Linked DNA regions of Mus musculus. The protein of the gene in region 1 purifies or fractionates together with the protein of each later gene. This does not show direct contact. Links are inferred from orthologs where the notes say so. Each region holds a gene or a part of one and is shown in the gene's direction. Other genes may lie near its edges.

Region 1 (4,079 bases):
GATGGCACTGTTGATGAAAGTGGCAGGAAGGGCGATGAGGAGCCACTGCAGCAGTTGCCAGCTAAAGGCCCGCGGGTCCTTACGTACAATGCAGCGGGCCAGTCTGCCGTCCAGGCGGGCAACATACACAGACAGGAAAGTTCGGCTTACCAGGGCAGCAGAATGCAGGGCCAGCAGCCCTGTTTCCCGGCACAAGACTCGGGGGAACAGCAGCCTCAGGAGCGCCAAGAGCCGCTGCAGGAATACCCGGTTCATGCCAGCCTTGGTTGCGGTGGCTCCAGAGGCCTCTTGAGTGGGCTCCCCAGCTGGCACCTGAGGACCTCTGGCAGGAGTCAGACACTGCCGTACTAGAGGGTAGATTTTGTGGACTCCATAGGCTGTGAGGGCCAGGACCACAGCTGTGCGCTTCAGCGTGGTCACCCGTGAGGGCCGGGGAGTGGAGAGCACCGGCATGTCACCTGGACTGGTGAGCAGGCTGAGGGCTGGAACTGCTGCCTGAGGCTACAGTTGCAGACAGATCCTGGAAGGGTTGTTGCTCTGACCCAGGGCTCGTTGTCTAGGCAACTGGAAACCTTGAAGTGATCCCTGAGACTGTTGCTTTAGGCCCTCGCGGTGGTGCTGGGGCCCCTGGATCGGTTGGGTTAGAATCCTCCAGGGTCGTGGCCTCTTCAGGCAGCCCGGGTGGAGGAACTGGCTTCCCTCTACAGACTGTCCCCTTAGCCCCTGAGGTCAGAGCCTCGAGAGGTCTTAAGGAGAGAGGCTGTGTCTTTCCTTCCACCTCCCTCCTCTTACTGCTCCTCCCCCCCCACCCCCCGTGACGCCCCTCCCCGGGGCACCAGGCGTGTTTGTCCGCTGAGCAGCCCGGCAGTAACGACAGCGTCTACGCCAAGGCCCAGAATCCCCACCCACCTACCCCTCCCCAGGGGTGGTGATGGGGAAGAGGAGGCGGAGTTGAGGCAAGAGGCGGAGTCCGAGTTAGGGGTGCCCCACCCCGTTCTCGCCCTACCGTTGGACCCCTCCCCCTCTCCGACAACAGAAACGAAGCAAGTCCGCGTACACTACAGAAGCGGCCCCAGCCCTCCCGCCAAGGCGCCTCCAAGCTCCACCCCTGCGTGTCCGAAGTGTCAGAGGCGCGGCAGGGGGCCTTCAACCGTCAGCCTCTACTTCCTTTCTAGACCTTGGCAACAGGCCGCGCCTAAGGGCGGGGCGGGAAACGACAATGGGCGGAGCCGTTAGGGGCCTCTAGAGGACTTGTAGGCGGGGCCTGACGCGCGTTTCCGGTTTCCGCCCGCGGGCTAGGGGGCGGGCCTGAGCATTGGTGAGAGTTTGGTAGTTGCGGTGGGGCGTGCGAGTAGGCTGAAGCTCGGTAAGCTGGGTCCGCATGCATGGCTGACTTTCGGACCAACGAGGTTCCCCCCCAGTCCCTTCATGAGGGAGGAAGGCGAGCATCCCAGAAATACTGTGGGTTCTGGGAAGTGTAGGGATCCGGGCCGACTTCGGAGTTTAGGGCAGGATCAGGCATAGGGATGTTGTGGAGGTAGGTGGAGCGGGACTCTAGGGGACGCGAGGACAGGGGCCAGTCCTCCCCACCCCCCCCCAGAAGAGCTGCCCAGGTAGGCCCAGCTCCTCGAAAGCCACCTGGCGCTGTGGACTTGGGCGTTGTGGCTTGCTAGGGATGCAGGGAGGTCCCTTTTTTGGCTTCGGGAGAGACTTTCTGGTTCTGGAACTTTCTCTGGGTAAGGCCTGGACGTGCTCTGTGGAGACCTGTATTTGCTTTTGGCCTGGATTCCCGCCCTCTAGGAGTCGCTCTTGTGGGCCTTTTGAGAGTAAATGGAGGCCTACACCCTGTGCATTCGTGCGAGCATTCGGAAGGCCTATCTAGTTTTCAAAAGCAGCTTTAGAAGGAGGCTGGAGGCTACTAGGGTTATCAGCCCCTCATAAGCTCTGGAGGAAATGGGCCTGCTTTCTTGTGCAGAGGCTTAGGTGGTGGCGTTTGCAGAAAATACATGTATGAACACTGCAGTCCCAGTCCCACTGTAGAAGCGACTGGAAGACATGTATAGCTCCTGGCAGCAGAGGCTTCTACTCTTGGAAGGAAGCCTAATGGGTGCTGAGGTCCTTCTGTTTACGTACTGTTCTTTTGAGAAACATTTTCTTAAACAGGTCTAGCCTTACAAGGGAGCCTGATGGGTGCTGAGAAGGTTCTCCTATTCTTATGAGAAACATTTTCTTAGTTAAACAGGCTTAAGAGTCTCTTGGACGGCCCCGGGGAAAGGAATCATGAACAAAAGTACCTAGTCATAGTAACATACTTGCTGGAGGGGCACAAGTAACTGTCCCAGGCAAGGGAAGTTTGTTGGCTGGCTAGAATCATTGGTCAAGTGTCTGCTGTTGGGTTAAACCCTGTTTCAACCAGGGTTTCAAAAGCTCTGAAGCAGAATCCTGTGGTCTGTTGTGAAGAATAGCAGCCCCAGCCTCTCCAGGGTCCCTGAGCAGTCCCTGTCAGTGACTTTCCAGCTCTCATGGTTCCTCCTGTTTCTTCTGTATCCTGCCAGGAAACAAGCTCCCATCCCTCTGTTGGAACCCTTTAAGTCACAGGATGAGTTTGCAGTGGACTACAGTTGCCACCTTCCTCTACGCAGAGGTCTTTGCTGTGTTGCTTCTCTGCATTCCCTTCATTTCTCCAAAAAGGTATGGCTAGTGGAACAACAAAGCAAGCATATGATGAGGGTGCTATCAAACCCTGAACCTTGTAGTTTCTGTGTGCAAAATTGGTGGACCCTGAAATTGAGGCTATATGGAAACAAGTAAAACCTGTCTTGAGTAAGGGTGTCAGGAGTATGATTTTTTTTTTCTTATCACCAATCTTGAACATTGTCTGGCTTTGTCACCTCGTCATTTGCTTTCCTGTGCACACTGTCTTCTGGTTTTTGCAAAAGAAGATTTGACTTCAACTTTTTTGAGTAATATTCTCTTGCCAACCCTTGGGCCTCAGGGCTGTAGGGGATAATTGTGTGGAAACTTGAATACTTGCACCATTGGCTTACATTGTTGCCGATTTGCTGACTTTTGACCTCCTAGCTAACTCCTACTGGCATTGCTTAGTAGGCTCATGAGCATTACTCAGCCTATGAAGGATGGAAGCTATAGTCCCTTTTAATAAAAAACAGGCTGGGCGTGGTGGCGTACGCCTTTAGTCCCAGCACTTGGGACGCAGAGGTAGTGGATTTCTGAGTTTGAGGCCAGCCTGGTCTACAGAGTGAGTTCCAGGACAGCCAGAGCTACACAGAGAAACCCTGTCTCGAAAAACAAAAAACAACCCAAAAAACCAGGATTTGCTAAACGTTATTTAGATATTGTTTCAATCATTTGTAGTATATCAACACTATTCGTATTTAAATTAGGATTTATAAAATTGCCATAGTTAATAATACCTAAGGAATATTCTTGCTAAAACCCACATTGACATTTAGTTCACAGGAAATACAGTGACCAAAACGCTGGTGGAACTGGAGTCTTGGATACTCTCTAGGACAACTAACTTTGTTCCACCACTTAGGAGGTGAAGGCAGGGTTAGGAGTTCAAGACCTATCTTGGCTACATAGCAAATTTGAGGTTAGCTTGAGCTAAATGAGACCTGGTATGAAAAGGAAAAGGATTACGGAAATGGCTCTGTAAGTAAAATGGTTGCTTGAACAAGTATAAATTCAAAATCTGAGTTTGATCTCTATCATTGATGTAAAATCTGGACATAGGAACACACTTCTGTAATAGAGTGTGGTAGAGGCAAAGATAAGGAGGATCCTAGCCAGTCTAGCTGAATCAGTAAGTTCTAGGTTCAGTGAGACCACTGGGAAAAAAAGAAAGTAGAGAATGATTAGAGAAGATAACCACTTCAAGCCCACACACTCATGCATATGCACAGGTACAAACACACAGAAAAATTGAAAGGAAAAAAAAGCAGGAAGGAGAGACTGATTAAGACCAACTTAAAAGCCGGGCGTGGTGGCGCACGCCTTTAATCCCAGCACTCGGGAGGCAGAGGCAGGCGGATTTCTGAGTTCGAGGCCAGCCTGGT
Region 2 (7,781 bases), on another chromosome or scaffold:
ATAAGCATGTGGAAAGCTGGTTCCGATTAAGGCTTCTGCTTTGAACACCTATTAAATGGAAGTCAGGACAATACAAAATAATGACAAGGCTGGCGAGCATTTTGAGAAGCTGGGTCTCTCAGGCATTGCTGTAGTCATGTGGCATGGAAGATGACTTAGCAGTTTCTAACAAACTGATTATTCAGATACTTGTATTTCCCAACAGCCACTGTCCCTGGCATGGAAAGGTAAAATGTTACATTCACACAAAACTCGTATACATTTGCTCATAACAACTTTTCCATAGTTAATCAAAAGCTGGAAATCTCCAAAAACGTTCCTCAAGCAGTGGGTTTGAACATAAGCTGCTGTGACATGTCACAACCACACAGTGAAAGATGATTGGAGCTGCTGTGGTCAAAGCCTGGGCCCTGGCAGCCCAAACAAGCCAGGCTCAGTCAATATTCCCCAACAGACCAACAACAAACAGTACTACTGAATGGCAAAGAACATTAGGAAGGGCAAATAAAGAGTGCTAGCCACCTCCTCCCCCCTGCCGCAGCTCATTTTTTTTTTTTCCGTCTGACAGGAGGTAAAAGTTAAGCATGACTAAGCAGTTCTGGCTAAGCCTAGTCACTGGCCCATCTCAGCTCCTGTCTCCCTTCAATGGGCTTTGACAACTTGTCACAACTGTGTGAAGTCCTCTTCCTGGGAGACAAGTTCCTTTTCTGGCTGACACCAGACTTGAGCCCTTTCCTTCTCCCAGCATGAGAGTCTATGGAAATTCCAATCTGGGGGGACAACGCCTCAGCAATCTCTTGGCTCCCACCAGGACGGTTATGCCGCTCCTCAGTGAAGACAGCGAAATCACTATTGATACAGTTCACATCCGGGATGGATTTCAAGGACAATAGAACAAGTGAGAAAGCTGACCTCAATTGTGTTATTGTATGATTCCATTTATATAATATGGTGACAAAATAGTACAGGGATGAGACAGATTACTTATCACCAGGTGTTAAGGATAATACAGGAGGGAGTGAGTGTAGTTCAGGAAGACAGTGCCAGCTAGAGCTCGTGACAGAGCAGTTATGCTGGGGTATACGGAGGCACCCCATACACCACATACACCAGTCTTAAAACTCGAGGGAACCTTGCTGTATTGGTGTGGATTTCTTTTGTTCCCTCTCTTCATAACAAGGTCTTGCTATATAACTAAGGTAGACATGGAGCTTACTAGGTAGACCCAGGCTGGCTTCTAACTTGCCATCTGCCTGTCTTTGTCTCTAGGGTGCTGTTTTTGCAGGTATGAGCTGCCTTGTTTTGGTACTTCGTAGTTACATTAATATGTGGTCATTGGGGGAACTGGGTGAGGGATGCAGAGAAAGATGACACATCTGTTCCACATTTGTAACTTTCCATGAAACTATGCTTTAAAATTAAAGGGAAGCAGATCTCTGGAGTTCAAGGCCAGCCTGGTCTACACAGTGAGTTCTAGGGCAGCCTGGCTACACAGAGAAACTCTGTCTCCATCCAACCCCCACAAAGCCCCATTGAACTTCTTGGATATTGTTCCTACATTATATTTTAGTTGGTTGATGTAAAATAAAATATTCATATGTTGTATGTGAACCAAACTGATTAGTATCTTAATACAAAGAATTTACCTTAGAAATATTTCTGAGTAACAATTACAACCAGAAATGGTTCCTTGTGGTTAAAAAGAAAAAAAAGAAAAAAAACAGTAAAAATAGTTTGGATGCTTTGAGCAATGCTTACTTGCCAATGAGCAGCTAAGGGAAAGGGAACTTAGGCATTTCCAAGCACCTGCAGAGTTTAGGACCTTCCTGATTTCCTGGGAGAATCACTGATGTGCCCATCACTAATGCTATGTTTTTGGAGTTAATTGCCGTTGTTGAAAAGACCAAAAAACAAAACAAACAAACAAACAAACTACGAAGGGCTTTTAAAATAAGTAAATAAGTTGTCTTCTGTTTTCCCCCACCCCTGCTTTAGATATCTGTAATTTATATATAGTATTGACTTCCAGACAAAAGGGTAGGGGAGTGCCAGCCTGGGGAGGGACTCAGTGCTGCGCTGCGCCCAGTGTTGGTCCTTATTTAGGATTTAAATTTACACTACAGTGGAGGATAAGAGAAAGTCTTTGCCATGTCAGGGCCTTGTGGCACGGAAGTTATTTCAGGTTAAAGAAATTATTAGATGCTTCTAATTTTAATGTAACAATTTCCTTTGTTTGCCTGTTGGATGAGCCACTCCCAATCCCCTGCAGATTCCAGTGAAGCAAACGGCATGGCGCATTATTTGGGGCCACACATTTATTTCCAGATCTTAAGCCGTGACACTTGCATAAGAGGTTCTTTCAAATGGTCCGTTCTGAAGGGAAACCACGCAGAGGGTCACTTTGGCTCACTGCAATTTATTCCAAGCGATTATCAGGATGTAGGGCCGCTTGGTTTAGGAAATACGCAAGAGTTAATGTGAAGTAGGGTGTAAGGGAAGGAAACTAAGGTTGAGATGGAGTTTGACCTGGCCCTAAAGCTTCCTCTTTACTTGGGCGCTGAGACCTCTGATCACACTTCCCCAGCTCCCTCCCACCCACCCACCCACCCCCACTGGCTGCTACATGCGCAGACTCAGAAAACCGCCTCCCCACCCAAAGGGCTGGCTTGGGGTAAAAGTGAAAGGCACCTCTTGTAGCTAATCAACACCACGCGCCGGGCTGTGGTGGGGAATGATTGGACTATTGGAGGGCGTCGGCTGAGGGCGGGAGCACCACACTGGCCAATCCCAAGAGGCCTTGTGGTCTGTGCCCAGTTTGAGGCACCGCCCTCTCCTGGTTCTGGGCACAGGGCCCGGTGGAGCTGGGAATGTCCCGGGCGGAGGCGCTCAGACCTGATCATAGCACAACCCTGCACGGCTGTGTTGCAGGGCCCGGTAGACTCACTGTTCCGAGATGGCCGGGCAGTCAGACAAGGATGTGAAGTACTACACCCTGGAAGAGATTCAGAAGCACAAAGACAGCAAGAGCACCTGGGTGATCCTGCATCATAAGGTGTACGATCTGACCAAGTTTCTCGAAGAGGTGAGATGGGCACGCACGCTCCAATGGGACACAGGAAAGGGTGGTCCCGGCTGTGGATACCCCCGGTGTGACCTGGGACCGATGTCCGAAAATGCGTTATCGGGTGCTCAAGTGTTTGAGAACATTTAAGAAGAGGGCCTTCCGCGTCTGCACACTTGTGTTCGCTTCTGAGCATGCTCACCTGCTTGTGCACACCTGTATCTGTGCTCCTGAGTGCCTTGGGTTGGCACATCTGGGCATGCCCATGGGAGGTAGGGAAGCATCTTTGCGGTGTGGGCTGTTTTTGTAGGCTTCGATGGGCGGAGTATTTGCAGGCCAAAGCTGGATCCCTGCGAGATGCTCAGGAGTGTCTTGAATAAATGCTACCCACTTGCTGGGAGAGTGCATAACCGCGTAAGGATTTTGAAAGAACCTTTTTTTTTTCCTTTCTTTCTTTCTTTCTTTCTTCCTTTCTTTTGCTTTCGTATAAGGCTCTTTCCATGTAGAGCTCCTCCATTTTCGAATGGACTTTTAGTATCAGCGGTTTGGAGACCTCTGGTCTTAAAAGCTATTTCCCCCAGAGGGTTCCTTAGGGTCGCAGGAGTGTGTGTGTGTGTGTGGGGGGGGGCACTCCCAGGGCTACTTTGATGCCCAGACCCATAAATTTACTAGTGTTCACTAAGCAGAGCCTGAAGGATGTCGACCTTAATGGATTAGTGACTTGTCTCAGAGCCCCAGCACCAGGTGAGTGACCCAAAGACTCCCTAGTGTGTGCCTTGAGCTCATACTAAGGAAGGGAGGTAGGCAGCATGGTACAGTCAGAAAACTGGAACTAAATCTTTAGGCTACTTCGGAAGTTGTAAAAATGGCTTAATTTAGAGGAAAACATTTCCTCTGGCAATGCTGATCTCAAGATTGTAGTTCTTGCTGCCCAGCCCAAGGGGCGTTTTGTTTGTAGTCTTTCTCTTTATTCCTTCCAGATGCACTGTTACTTTGGGTCACACACACTCACAAGGACTCTGCACCCCACTTCTTTCCAGTAAATAAGAGTGCTTATTGATGAGGGTGGTTTGCATGTTTGTTTGTTTGGTGGTGGGCTGGGCAGAAGTCCAGGGTCAGTGTTAGATTATAATTTACCTCAAGGGACATCTGCTTTGCAGAGAATGTTAAATACAGAAAAAACTGAAAGTTTGGAGTTTTAGTTTCATGCTAAAATACTTGACTGTTAACGGTAAAATAGGGCTCCAGTTTAGTAAGGAGTGGCTTGCAGTGTGGGCTCAGATCTGCCTCTGTTCTGCTGAGCCCAGAGCAGGTTTGCATCCTAGCTTCTCAAACTAACAGTCCTGTATTGTTTTGCATTTTGTTTGTTTGTTTGTTTTGTTTTTGTTTTTTCGAGACAGGGTTTCTCTGTATAGCCCTGGCTGTCCTGGAACTCACTTTGTAGACCAGGCTGGCCTCAGAAATCCGCCTGCCTCTGCCTCCCAAGTGCTGGGATTAAAGGTGTGCGCCACCATGCCCGGCTTGTTCTGTTCTGTATTGTTAAGCCAAGGGCCAGGTGAATGACTTCACGTGGAATTGTCCCCCCCCCCCCCCCCCGCCCCACCACCATGATATATGTAATTCTTAAATTTTATGATAAAATTCGTCCCTTGACTTTGTGTATATAATAAAGTGCAGCACTTGTAAAAAGAAAAAGACAAAACGTTGAGATAATTTATACGATGCAGCTGTTTTAACTTGTCTCGTTGTCCTTTCAGACAGGTCCCTAGACCTCGGGACTGTTGACTTTTTAGGTTGCCTCCCTGTCCTGTATTCAGTGGATGTCCTAACAGTGACAACCAGCACTGTCTCCAGATACCGCCAAATGTCCCACAGGACATACAGTTGCTCCTGATAGAGAATTGCTGCCCCCAAAATAATTGTGTATGACTTTAAAAAGTAGATCTTTGAAGTAGGTAACAGGGATGAGATTATTAAATTATACTCAGTCATTGATTCTCTTAATTTATTCTCATGAGGCAGGGAAGGAGTGGGGAGAGGACCCCACAGACTTATTGAGCTCAGCTGAAAGGCTAACAAGAAGCTGCTCTGTAGGAAAAAAAAGCTGGAAAGAAAGTTCCTTTGCTCTGGCTAAGTTTTTGGTACCCTGTCTCTGAGGATAACTTGGGAAGAACACTTCTTGAGCAAAATGGAGAGGCTCCCTGGGAACCAGTCTTCTAGGACGTTGATGGAGAGGTCAGAGTCTTTGAGAAGCACAGAGAATGGTTGGGTCCTGTTGACCTTAAGGGTTAGAGGGACCAAGACCCCTTCCTGCTTTTCTTACCCCTGCTCTCACTGTGTGTGAATGTCTCACCATGTTGGATGGAGCAATTCTGGGATCATCAGGCTTCTGGGTATATTCAGACTCTGCCTGGTGTTGACACTTGACATTTCGTAGCTTGCTGTACTACTTATGTACTTATGTACTACTGCTTGTTTCACACAGTCTTGGTCATTGGCTTTCCTTCCCTAGTGTGGCATTGCCTTTAGGATCTCTGGGCACCGGCAGGCACTGAACATGACTGCTTGTTCCTGTTTGGGTTACCACTTCCACACACACCTCAAACATACTGCCACAGTTGTTCTTCTTTCTAGATTCCTTCAGTTTCAACTATGTTGTTAGGTCTACATGGTTTGTCTCATGCTTTGGCTTAAAACAGAAATATTTTTTACAAGGGTCAGAGTGTCCTACTTTTCCTGACTTCCTTTCCTTCTACATCTCAAGGTTCCAGAAATTTCACGAGGCCCGTGAGCTGAAGAATATGTTTTGCTAATTTACAAATGAAAAAAGTGGGAGGAGCATCCTTCTTCCCTTTCTGGAATTTTCTGTCACCATGAGCTGTGTCTCCACAGGCTCTGGATTCACCCATCCTCGTGGCTCTGCTTTTCTGTTGAGGGAGCACGTGCTGTGGTTGGCTGCTCCTGCTCTGCTGCCTGCCTTCTCTGTGCCTTAGATTCCTCACAGGTAAAGGAGAGACAAGCAGTGTCTGATTGCAGCTGACAGTGATTTAAAGCATTGACTAGTGTAGTGTGCATGCATGCCTGTAATCTCAGGCAGGAGAGTTCCCAAGAATTAGAGAGGCCAGCCTGGGTGACCATGAGAATCTCTCCAGAAACCACAACTAGGAAAAAAAAAAAAGAGTGTTTTTTTTTTTAACACAAACCAGGATGAGTTTCCCTGCTCATTTGGAAACTGCAGCCGCGGCCAGACTTGAGCTGTGGTTCCCCCTCTGCGGTGTCCTGTGTAGTTGGGTGTTTGGGGTGTGCTTTAGGTGAGATGTAACTCCGGAAGGTGATCGTGAAATAGGAGAATAGTAGAAAAATTATCTTTCTAGTCACGAACACAGTTTGAAGGTCACTTGTGCAATGTGAACTCTGTCTTCCGGAAATAATGATCTGAGGTCCAGAGGTGGGAATCCCACAGGGAGGCCATCTAAACAGCAGCAGGGCTTGGGTCCCGAGCTGGCGTCTGCCCACAGGATTATAAGCCTCATTGCCTAGATATTTTGAACCTTTTTTTTCCCCCTAGTCCTGCCCCCTAGGTTTTGAGTTTACATTTATGAAATTGAGTCTTGTTATATAAGATCATGGCATTAGACAGGTTAGTGATGATAGAAATCCGAGAGACCATTATTTGGAATGAAAACAGGTGTTAAGGGCCAAGGAGCAAGTTTGCATTTCCCTGTTCTGTGGTTGAGCCAGGTTTAAGCAGAGCTGTGGAAGGGAGGAAGAGAGCATCGGGTAAGACTCCTGTTGCCTTTCCGTTCTGGGCAGTGGGTGCCCGTAACATCTCCTAGGCCGCGTTGAAGGCAAGTTGTCTGTGCTCCCCACACAATGTTTTCCTAGTGATGCTGAGATTCTGCGATTTTTAAAGCAAGTCTTGAATATTCATTGAAAGCATCCCGCCTTGCAGAGGCTGTTAGCTTCTGACTCACTTAGCCTTTTTGGGGTCTTGACGAATGAAGTTTTGCTTTTTGTGGCTGCTTACCTTTCACAGATGAAGAATTCAGAGTCTGAGGACCACTGTCTCCCTGAGACATTTAAGATGTCCACCTGTGTTTCTGAGAAATGGAAGGGCATAGGTCTCTACTCTTTGGTGCGGCCCCGTGTACCTTCCTTTAATGCGTGTAAAGTGAAATTCTATTACGTAATGATGTGTTTTGGGTGGTGACTTAGGTATCCTGGATAAATAGGTAGAAAAGCCATATCTTGTAAGGCTGCACCTAAGTATCTTTTAAGCAGTTCTACTGTTGGGGAAGGTGTTCCTTTTCTGAAAAGAGATTCCCGTTTTGTTTTAACACAGTAAAATCCAAAACAAAATTAAGGCATCAGATCACAATTGAGGCACCTGACTCTGTTTGTCTTTAAGGTGATGAAAATTTTGTAAATAAGGAAGTAAAACAGGTTATGCAGGCAGGTCAGCCAGAGCAAATAGGGAATAGGTAAGAGGCTAATCACTACTTAGTGTGGATGTCTATTATTCTCAAAGACTCTAAAACCTTGGAGACAACCCACAGGACCTCTTGTGTAACAGAATCTGAGTAACTGGCCCTCCTCCATCCATGGGAACATGACTGGCTCTGGTGTAGAACATTGGGAAAAATAATACATGTGAAAAACACTTAGAACAACATGGAAAGAGAAGGTGTTCAGACAATTAAAAGTTGTTTTCTTTGTTTCG
Region 3 (7,781 bases), on another chromosome or scaffold:
GAAAGAAAGAAAGAAAGAAAGAAAGAAAGAAGGAAAGAAAGAAAGGAAGAAAGAAAGAAAGAAAGAAAGAAAGAAAGAAAGAAGGAAAGCAAGCAAGCAAGCAACCCATTACTCAGGTAGCTGGCAAACAGCAGGAGAGGCCAGATGCAGGTGCACACTAGCTGCACAGCTAATCTTAACCCTAGCGTCAGTTTTAGTCTATTTTCACAGCTAGAGAACTCCAGGGTCTCAGTGATTCCTCCCCAGAGTCAGGGGAAAGAGAGCAGGAGGACTCTGTCACTTGTCAGCTCCAACTCCAACGAAGCCTGTGCATGAGACAAAAGTGAAATAGGGTCACTTATCCCAACAGACCTATGGTCAGGACAAAAGTGACATAGGGTCACTTACCCCCAACAGGACTATGGTCAGGACTGGCCCATCCCCACAAGTCAACAAGACATCTCTGGACTCACATGGAACTGAAGTAGCTCTGGGGACCCCAAACTCAGGAGGGGGATCCATGAGGAAATGAGCTCAAAGCGTCTTGCAACTGCACAGTGTTCTGCTTGCTTTTCTGGGCCAACAGAGATGCAAGCCTGCCGGAGGAGTTGGCAGACTCAGGACATCCTGCTGTTTCCCTAAAGCTTCTGGATTTCTTAATTTGAATCTGCAAGTAAGAACCCGACTGGCCAGGCTTGGATCAGGTTTTCTGTCTCAGGCCAATCAGCTTTGGCAGACTCCGTAGAGGGGAGGCTGGGCAGAGTCCAGTTTAAAAAAAAAAAAAAAAAGGTGACTTGCTTTTCCCCTCCCTGCAGGCTGTGACTGGGAAGAAAGATCAATGAATAACATTTCTGGTGCACTTGGATTTCAATCCCAGGGGCTCCCAGGTCTCCTCCCTATTCTGGCTGATTTTCTTTGCCTTTCTTGTGTGGCTAATTCTTTGGATTTAAAACCTTCCCTTCTGGAAGGAAAGAGATTCATAAAAGTCAGGTTCAGTCCTCAGCACTAGAAAGTTAAAAACAAACAAACAAACAAACAAACAAAACCCAAAACATACATGGCTTGGGAAGTCCAGCTATCGGACTCACGAGGTCCCTCTAGTCAACAGTTGCTGGAGAGGGAACTCTTGAGCTGCTGATAAGTCATGCATTGGTCCAGGGATGCATGCAGGTTTGTTAGTTGGGGGCCTTTGGGGTGATCTTTTTAGTTACCTTGAGTTACCTTGTAAATAAATTAAACACTTTCCCTGGTTTGCCGACGTAGACTTTGGGTGGAATTCTTTAATCTGTCATCTGTGCCTTCTCTACCGCAAATAGCTGTCTGTCTCCCCAGCAAAAGTGACACAAGCCACTCGCTGAGTTTTAGGTAAGTGCCTTACCAGTCCTCTGCATCTCCATTCATTTTAAATTAAAACCAAGACTCCCAGGGCGCTGAACGGAGGTGGCGCACACCGCCTTTAATCCCAGCACTTGGGAGGCAGAGGCAGGCGGATTTCTGAGTTCGAGGCCGGCCTGGTCTACAGTGTTAGTTCCAGGACAGCCAAGGCTATACAGAGAAACCCTGTCTCGGGAAAAAACAAACAAACAAACAAACAAAAAACAAAAACAAAAAAAAAACCCAAAAAATAAAACAAAACAAAAAAAAAAACCAAGAAAGACTCTCAGGGCGAAGTTCCGAGAAGCCAGACTTTCTGCCCACCCACGACACACAGCCCTGGGCATCAGGGCTCTGGGTCAAGTGTTAAGATTCTTGGAGACAAATCTTGTGTCCCCAGGTCTTGTCCTTCCGACTCTGCCTCCCTGTACGCCCCTGTGACTCAGCAGCTTTCCCTGCCTGGCTTTAACTCCGGGAATGGGCTGGGTGTTTGTTGCCGGGTAGATAGAGCTGCAGACTTGGGAACAGGTTCTTTCTAATGCAAAGCAAGCCCTGTACCACGGAGCTATCTGTTTGCCCACATTCTATTTCGAAGGGCTTTCCCTCATAGTCTTAACTAGATATGGGCTTAGGCCCCCTTACATTCCCTCTCCTCGGCCTCTCTCTCTCTTGGTTCCCTTCCTTTAGCCCACGGAACAGCATTTTCAATCTAGAGTGGCTGCGGATGCCCAGCTGTCTTGTTCAGCTACAGCAGGTTGTGAGCAACCACCTGGCGTCTCCTCTACTGGACCCCAAATGCCTGAATTCTCCTCGGACGTCTGTTAGTAGAAGGCAAAGGGTGTGAAGTCTTCACTCACATGTGATTTCACAAACTCTCCAAACCTGATTTGGTTAGTCTTGGTGTGGCACGCTCAACAGGGCAGGAGGCCACGTGCTGAGACCAGGCTGGGAAAAAGTGTCCGCCCTCTCTACACTGCAGGAAAGCAGACATCCAGAACCCGCGTGACCTCACGTAGCGAGACTCCGCAGTCTCACAAACCCACTTTGTCTTTTTTAATTTCTTAAATGCTTGGGAAATGGCGGAAAGAGGCTTTGACACTAGGGAAGATTGCACGCAACTTTACAGTGCGGAGCCGGCTCTCGGGAGAGTTTAATTTGCAACTGACTCGCTGACGCACGCGGGCGTGTCGCAGGCTCCGGAAATCAAGGTTGGAGCAGAGGGGACAGTAGCCGCTCTGACCTATACAGCGCCACTTCCAGAGCCCAGTGTCCCCACTGGGCCTCCGAGTGACTTGCAGCCTCGGCGACTCCGGCGACACTATCCGCTGAGGTCCCTAGGCCACCGCTCTGTGTGCCGGAAGCTCCCCTCCCCCTCTTCCCAAATGCTTCCAGCAGCCTGGAGGCTGCAACAGTGACCCGCGTGTCCCCGCGCACGCACACACCTCACGCACGTCAGACCCACGCCTCCCTATCGCCCCGTGCCAGAGTGCACGCAGGCCTTTACGCGCGGCCACACATGATCACAGAGCCGCAGAGGGCGAGAGCGCGGCTCGCGAGTGGGAAGAAGACCCCGAGACTGGTCTGGGCGCTGTCCGGGGTGGAGCCGAGGGCGGAGCTTCGGGGTCCGGCGCGCAGAGCTGGGGCGTGTCCGCGCCGCCGCGATCTGCGCCGCTCCGCCCTCGGCCCGTTCGCTGCGCTCCCAGCCTCCTCGCCGCAACCCCCGCCGTAGCTGCCGCTGCTCCCGCCGTCACCGCCTCCGAGGTAGGCGCAGCGGAGAGGGCCTGGGCTATGCCTGAGTCCCCAGGGCCTCGGGTCGCGCTCCTGGGAAGTCTCCAGGGAGGCGATCGAGGGAGGTTCGGGCGAGGGCGCTGGGCCTAAGCGCTTGGCCCCGGGAAGGGTGAACCAGGGACGATCATTGCGGGCCTGGAGGGGCAGCGGGCTTGTAGAGGAGGCCTGGAGGGCGGGCGCAGAGCGGATCTCCCAGATTCTAGCTCGAGCGTTCAGAGCACCTGCATTTGGAAGCCAGGGGCGGTTCGAACATGCGAGGAGCGGAAGGGCAAGGGCGGCCGCGTGGAGGCCCGGCGGGCCGCGGGTCTAGGTGACCTTCCCGGCGGCGCCCTCTGGCTCTAGATCCCGTCGGTGTGGATCTGGTAGAGACCCTCCCACGGCCCAAGCCCTTCCCCACCAGCTCCAAGGGCCTGTGCAGACCCAGCTTCCTCCGCCGAGAGGACGAACTCCAGGCACGGCCATGCCCTGGATCCCCCAGCCCCTACACGCCCTAGCCGGCCCACGCCCGGAGTAGGTGGCGCCGGGTCCCTCCCGCGCATGCCAGTGTCTTCCCGGGCGGAACGGGCTGCCCTGAGTGGACTTAGGCCGCAGGAACAGGGACCTGGGCCTGGACTGAGAGCGAGACCCCATAGGGAGCCATACGCTTGGCCTCCTTGGCCTCGGGGACGGAGTCCGTGTTCTGTGTCGCCAAATGCAACTGTGCATTCTGGAAACTGTTTTCAGGGCCTGACATCAGATTGGAGGCCCGCAACTCTACACGGTTTGTCCAAGGTCACACTGGTAGGAAGATTTAAAACTTCAATCTTCTCATCTGCGAAATAGGAGCAATTATATACACTTCACTGAGTTTGGGGGAAAGAATAAAATGATCCGATTAACACGAAGCCTTGGGGCATGCACAAGGACACCTTAGAAACCTTGACATTTGCCTAGGAGACCTAGGAGCTTTTGGGGAGGGTTGAACTCATCCTCCACAGACTTTTATTTTATTTTATTTTTTATTCCACATGGTGTACAGGAAGGGACTCCATGAATATACAGGCGTATTATTTTAATGCCATTATTACTAATGTCAGAAGCAAGCATTTGTGCAGCACCAGGTATTGAGTCATTGGAGAATAATTCACGAGACACTGTCAGTTTGCAGATTGACAGCTGTCAGGCTGGAGCACTAAATCTGACTGCAGACCCAGAATGCAGGAAGAGTGTGGGCTTAGCTCAGGTGTGTGCTGTCCAAAACTTCTCTTTCCTTGACCAGAGATATGGGTGAGGGGCTTAACTCCGGCTTGTTTACTAGCAAGCCAGGCATAACTGCGGAGGGCCTGCCTGCTTTTCTCGGGACTGACAAAACTGAAGGGCCAAACTCAGGCTTGTCTTCAGGGACTTGGGTGGGACCACTTGGCACACATTAGGTGGTTAAGAAAGGTCTGTGGGGTAAATTCATTTTTAAAAAATGTCTATTTAATGTGTGCATGCTTGTGCCTATGTGAGTTTATGTACATACATGCAGGTGTGAGATGCCTCATGTGGGTCTGGGAATCGAACCTGGGTCTTCTGCAAAAGCAGTAAGCACTTTTTTGTTTGTTTTGTTTTTGTTTTGTTTTGTTTTTTTGAGACAGGGCTTCTCTGTATAGCCCTGGCTGTCAGCAGTAAGCACTCTTTTTTTTTTTTTTTTTTTTTTTAAGATTTATTTATTATTTTATGTAAGTACACTGTAGCTGTCTTCAGACACTCCAGAAGAGGGCGTCAGATCTCATTATGGATGGCTATGAGCCACCATGTGGTTGCTGGGATTTGAATTCAGGACCTTCAGAAGAGCAGTCAGTGCTCTTAACCATTGAGCCATCTCTCCAGCCACAGCAGTAAGCACTTGTAACCCCTGAGCTCTCTCTCCATTTTTTTTTCTTTCATACCACTCTTAACTACCCAGGCATGGTAGGTGCACATTCAATCGTGGAATCTTAAAACAGCCATTAGATGACCTAGACAGCTCACTCACTTCTAGAAGCTATCCTGTCCTAGCCGAGTCATAGATGTCATAAGAGCTGTAATCGTACATACTCACCTACAGCAGTAGTCATGAGAGATGAGAAACAGCTCCTTTAGCATTCTACAACTTCCCAAGTCCTGGGGGAACTTGTCCAACTGGTGTTTCTGGGCTTAAAGCTAGAGAGTGATATGGGTAGATGGGATTCTGGCCAAAGCTGTGGGGCCTGTAGCTTCTTCCCTTTCTGACAGGTGTGGGGGTATGACAGCTCGAGTAAGGTGCCAGTCCCCACTTGTAGTAGCTCACAGCTGATTCGCTTTATTTCTGGTTTCTAGAATGAGGCTTTGGACAGGGGCTGTCTGGGGCCATGCGGTCCTCATGCTGGACCTGAGCCCCTAGGATTCCGGAAAGGTTGTACTGTCGTTGTAGCTTTGCGCTTTCCCCAGGTTCCTTCGGTACCTGAAAGGATGGCAGAGGCATGCTTAGCTAGACCTGGGTGTGGGTCTCCATCCCGCAGTTAAGTCACAGCATGTGAGCACTTTACCTAGGGCTGAGCTAGAAAAAGCTCCAGAGGGCAGCCTGGGCTCTCAGTTCTGATCTGACAAGAGCCACAGAGTCTAGCTCAGGTGAAATAGCTTTCTCGTGTCTTAGTTCCTCTGTTATAATGTGGTGGATTGATTGATTGATTGATTGATTGATTTTGGCTTCTGTTTTTAAAAAAATTAATTGTTTGGAGGTGGCTAGCACATGTGGAGGTCAGAGGTCAACTTCTGGTCTTCCTGTCTCCACTCAGGCCTTGGGATCACCTGGGTCTGCAGTAGAACTGTGACTGTCAGTGCTGGCCATTCTGGTGTTCTGCGGCCCTGCTGTGTATACTTGGTGCTTGGGCACCAGTCCTCCGCTAGTATCCCCACACTGCACTGCTGCTGTGTTCTGAGGAACCCATAGGTGTGAGTGCCTCTGCACAGCAGAAGTTACCAACTGGTTGGGAAAGGAGAGAGGTAGCTGCTGTGGGCCATCTGTAGTGGACGGTGCTCATAGAAATCATTTGCCCTGGGGTGAGATAGGAGGTGTCCTTCCGGGACCTGGCCAGACAGTATCCGGCTAAACAATACCTCTCTATGGGTGGGAAGGACTCTGGACCCCGTGGTTCAGGGTGAGCTTCTGACAAGATGCTCAGAAACCATTATTATAATAGTAGATATACAAGACCAGAGCTTGGTTAGATTCCCTAGCCATAAATATAGCAATGGAAACTGTCTATTGGACTGGCTTGTGTGGGACTTAGTAGAATGCTAGCCCAGCATGCAGAAAGCCCTGGATTCTTCCTTCAACACTGCAGAAACTCAGTAAGGTGGGGCACACACTCAGAGGTGGAGGCAGGAGGATCAAGTTCAAGGTCATCCTCCGTGACATAGTGAGTTTGAGACTCACTGTGGGCTACATTAGATCCTGTTTCAAAGCCAAACCAAACTGGCTGGTGGTGCACACCTTTAATCCTGGTACTTGGCGGGGTGGGGCAAGGGGAGGGCACAGAGGCAGACAGATCTCTGTGAGTTTGAGACCAGCCTGGTCTACAGAGTTTCAGGACAGCCAGGGCTACACAGAGAAACCCTGTCTTGAAAAACGAAGAACCAACCAACCAAAGAAACCAAACTTATTATTTATTTGTCTGCTCATCTCAGATGATAAGTTGACCTGTCATCTGTCATCTTAATAGAATTCTACTTGTGTTTGTTTCATGGCTTCTGCATGTACCAGCCGCAGGGATGTATACCAAGGGGAATTGGGTCAGAGAGACTGACTTTGGGGTCTTTTACTTAGAAAGGGAGTAGGATATAGACCCATATGTCCTTGATTCCCAAGGCTGAGCACTTAAAAAAAGCGCTGACTGTGTCAACCCCCTATGCCTTGTGGTGCCTGGGCTATCCTGGAGCCCTGGTGTACCTGGCTGGACCCTAGACCCTGGAGTGCTGCTGGCTGCCTGCATGGCCTTCTCTCCACAGGTGGGTGAGGGAGAGAAGGCAGGTTGCCTTGAGTCAACCACAGCCTCCCCAGCCTTATAGAAGGCTGTGCTGCTGCTGGTGGCCCAGCTTCCAGAGGGTTTTAAAATAGAAGCAGAGCCTGGAAAGCCAGACTGTCCCCCTGTGAGACTCTGTGGAGGGGGAGGGGAAGGCAGCTGCTTTGGGAACTCAGCCTGCTTCCAGAGCAGAGGCCACTGCCTTGCCAGATGTGTGTGTGTCTGTGTGTGCCTGTGTTTATGTCTGTCTGTGGTGCAGGGAAGCTCCTGAACTGAGCCTGCTTTCTGCTGAGAGGTTGATTTTTGCCCCTGGTCCCTAGCGTTGGAGAAGTGGTTGATTTTGCTGTAATCTATCATGACCTCTTTTTTATTTGTTATTTTAATTTTTAGATATATTTATTCATTTTATGTATATGAGTACAGTGTAGCTGCCTTTAGACGTACCAGAAGAGGGAATTGTATACATTACAAATGGTTGTGAGCCACCATGTGGTTGCTGGGAGTTGAACTCAGGACCTCTGGAAGAGCAGTCACTGCTCTTAACCTCTGAGCCATCCCTCCAGCCCCCAACCTCTTGATTTCTTTATATGTATAAGGGTTTTCCCTGTACATATGTATGCATATCATGCTCAT

Evidence for each region. The genes of interacting proteins can lie anywhere in the genome.
Region 2: the proteins of Bcap31 (region 1) and Cyb5a purify together in Homo sapiens (co-immunoprecipitation; 4 studies listed by BioGRID and IntAct, with this or other methods). This does not show direct contact. The link is inferred for Mus musculus from reciprocal best matches to the Homo sapiens genes BCAP31 and CYB5A.
Region 3: the proteins of Bcap31 (region 1) and Vdac1 purify together in Homo sapiens (affinity purification with western blotting; 3 studies listed by BioGRID, with this or other methods). This does not show direct contact. The link is inferred for Mus musculus from reciprocal best matches to the Homo sapiens genes BCAP31 and VDAC1.

Annotation. Positions count from the first base shown.
Region 1 is NC_000086.7:73,713,405-73,717,483, reverse strand, and holds the start of Bcap31 (B-cell receptor-associated protein 31), read left to right. Parts: upstream 1-1,279; 5' UTR 1,280-1,366; intron 1,367-2,555; 5' UTR 2,556-2,599; coding exon 2,600-2,691; intron 2,692-4,079. Other genes in the region: Abcd1 (ATP-binding cassette sub-family D member 1), read right to left, coding at 1-453. UniProt on the Homo sapiens protein: Functions as a chaperone protein. Is one of the most abundant endoplasmic reticulum (ER) proteins.
Region 2 is NC_000084.6:84,848,526-84,856,306, forward strand, and holds the start of Cyb5a (cytochrome b5), read left to right. Parts: upstream 1-2,812; 5' UTR 2,813-2,953; coding exon 2,954-3,082; intron 3,083-5,052; exon of another isoform or gene 5,053-7,781.
Region 3 is NC_000077.6:52,358,039-52,365,819, forward strand, and holds the start of Vdac1 (voltage-dependent anion-selective channel protein 1), read left to right. Parts: upstream 1-2,812; 5' UTR 2,813-3,114; intron 3,115-3,558; exon of another isoform or gene 3,559-3,678; coding exon of another isoform or gene 3,679-3,921; intron 3,922-7,781. UniProt on the Homo sapiens protein: Non-selective voltage-gated ion channel that mediates the transport of anions and cations through the mitochondrion outer membrane and plasma membrane.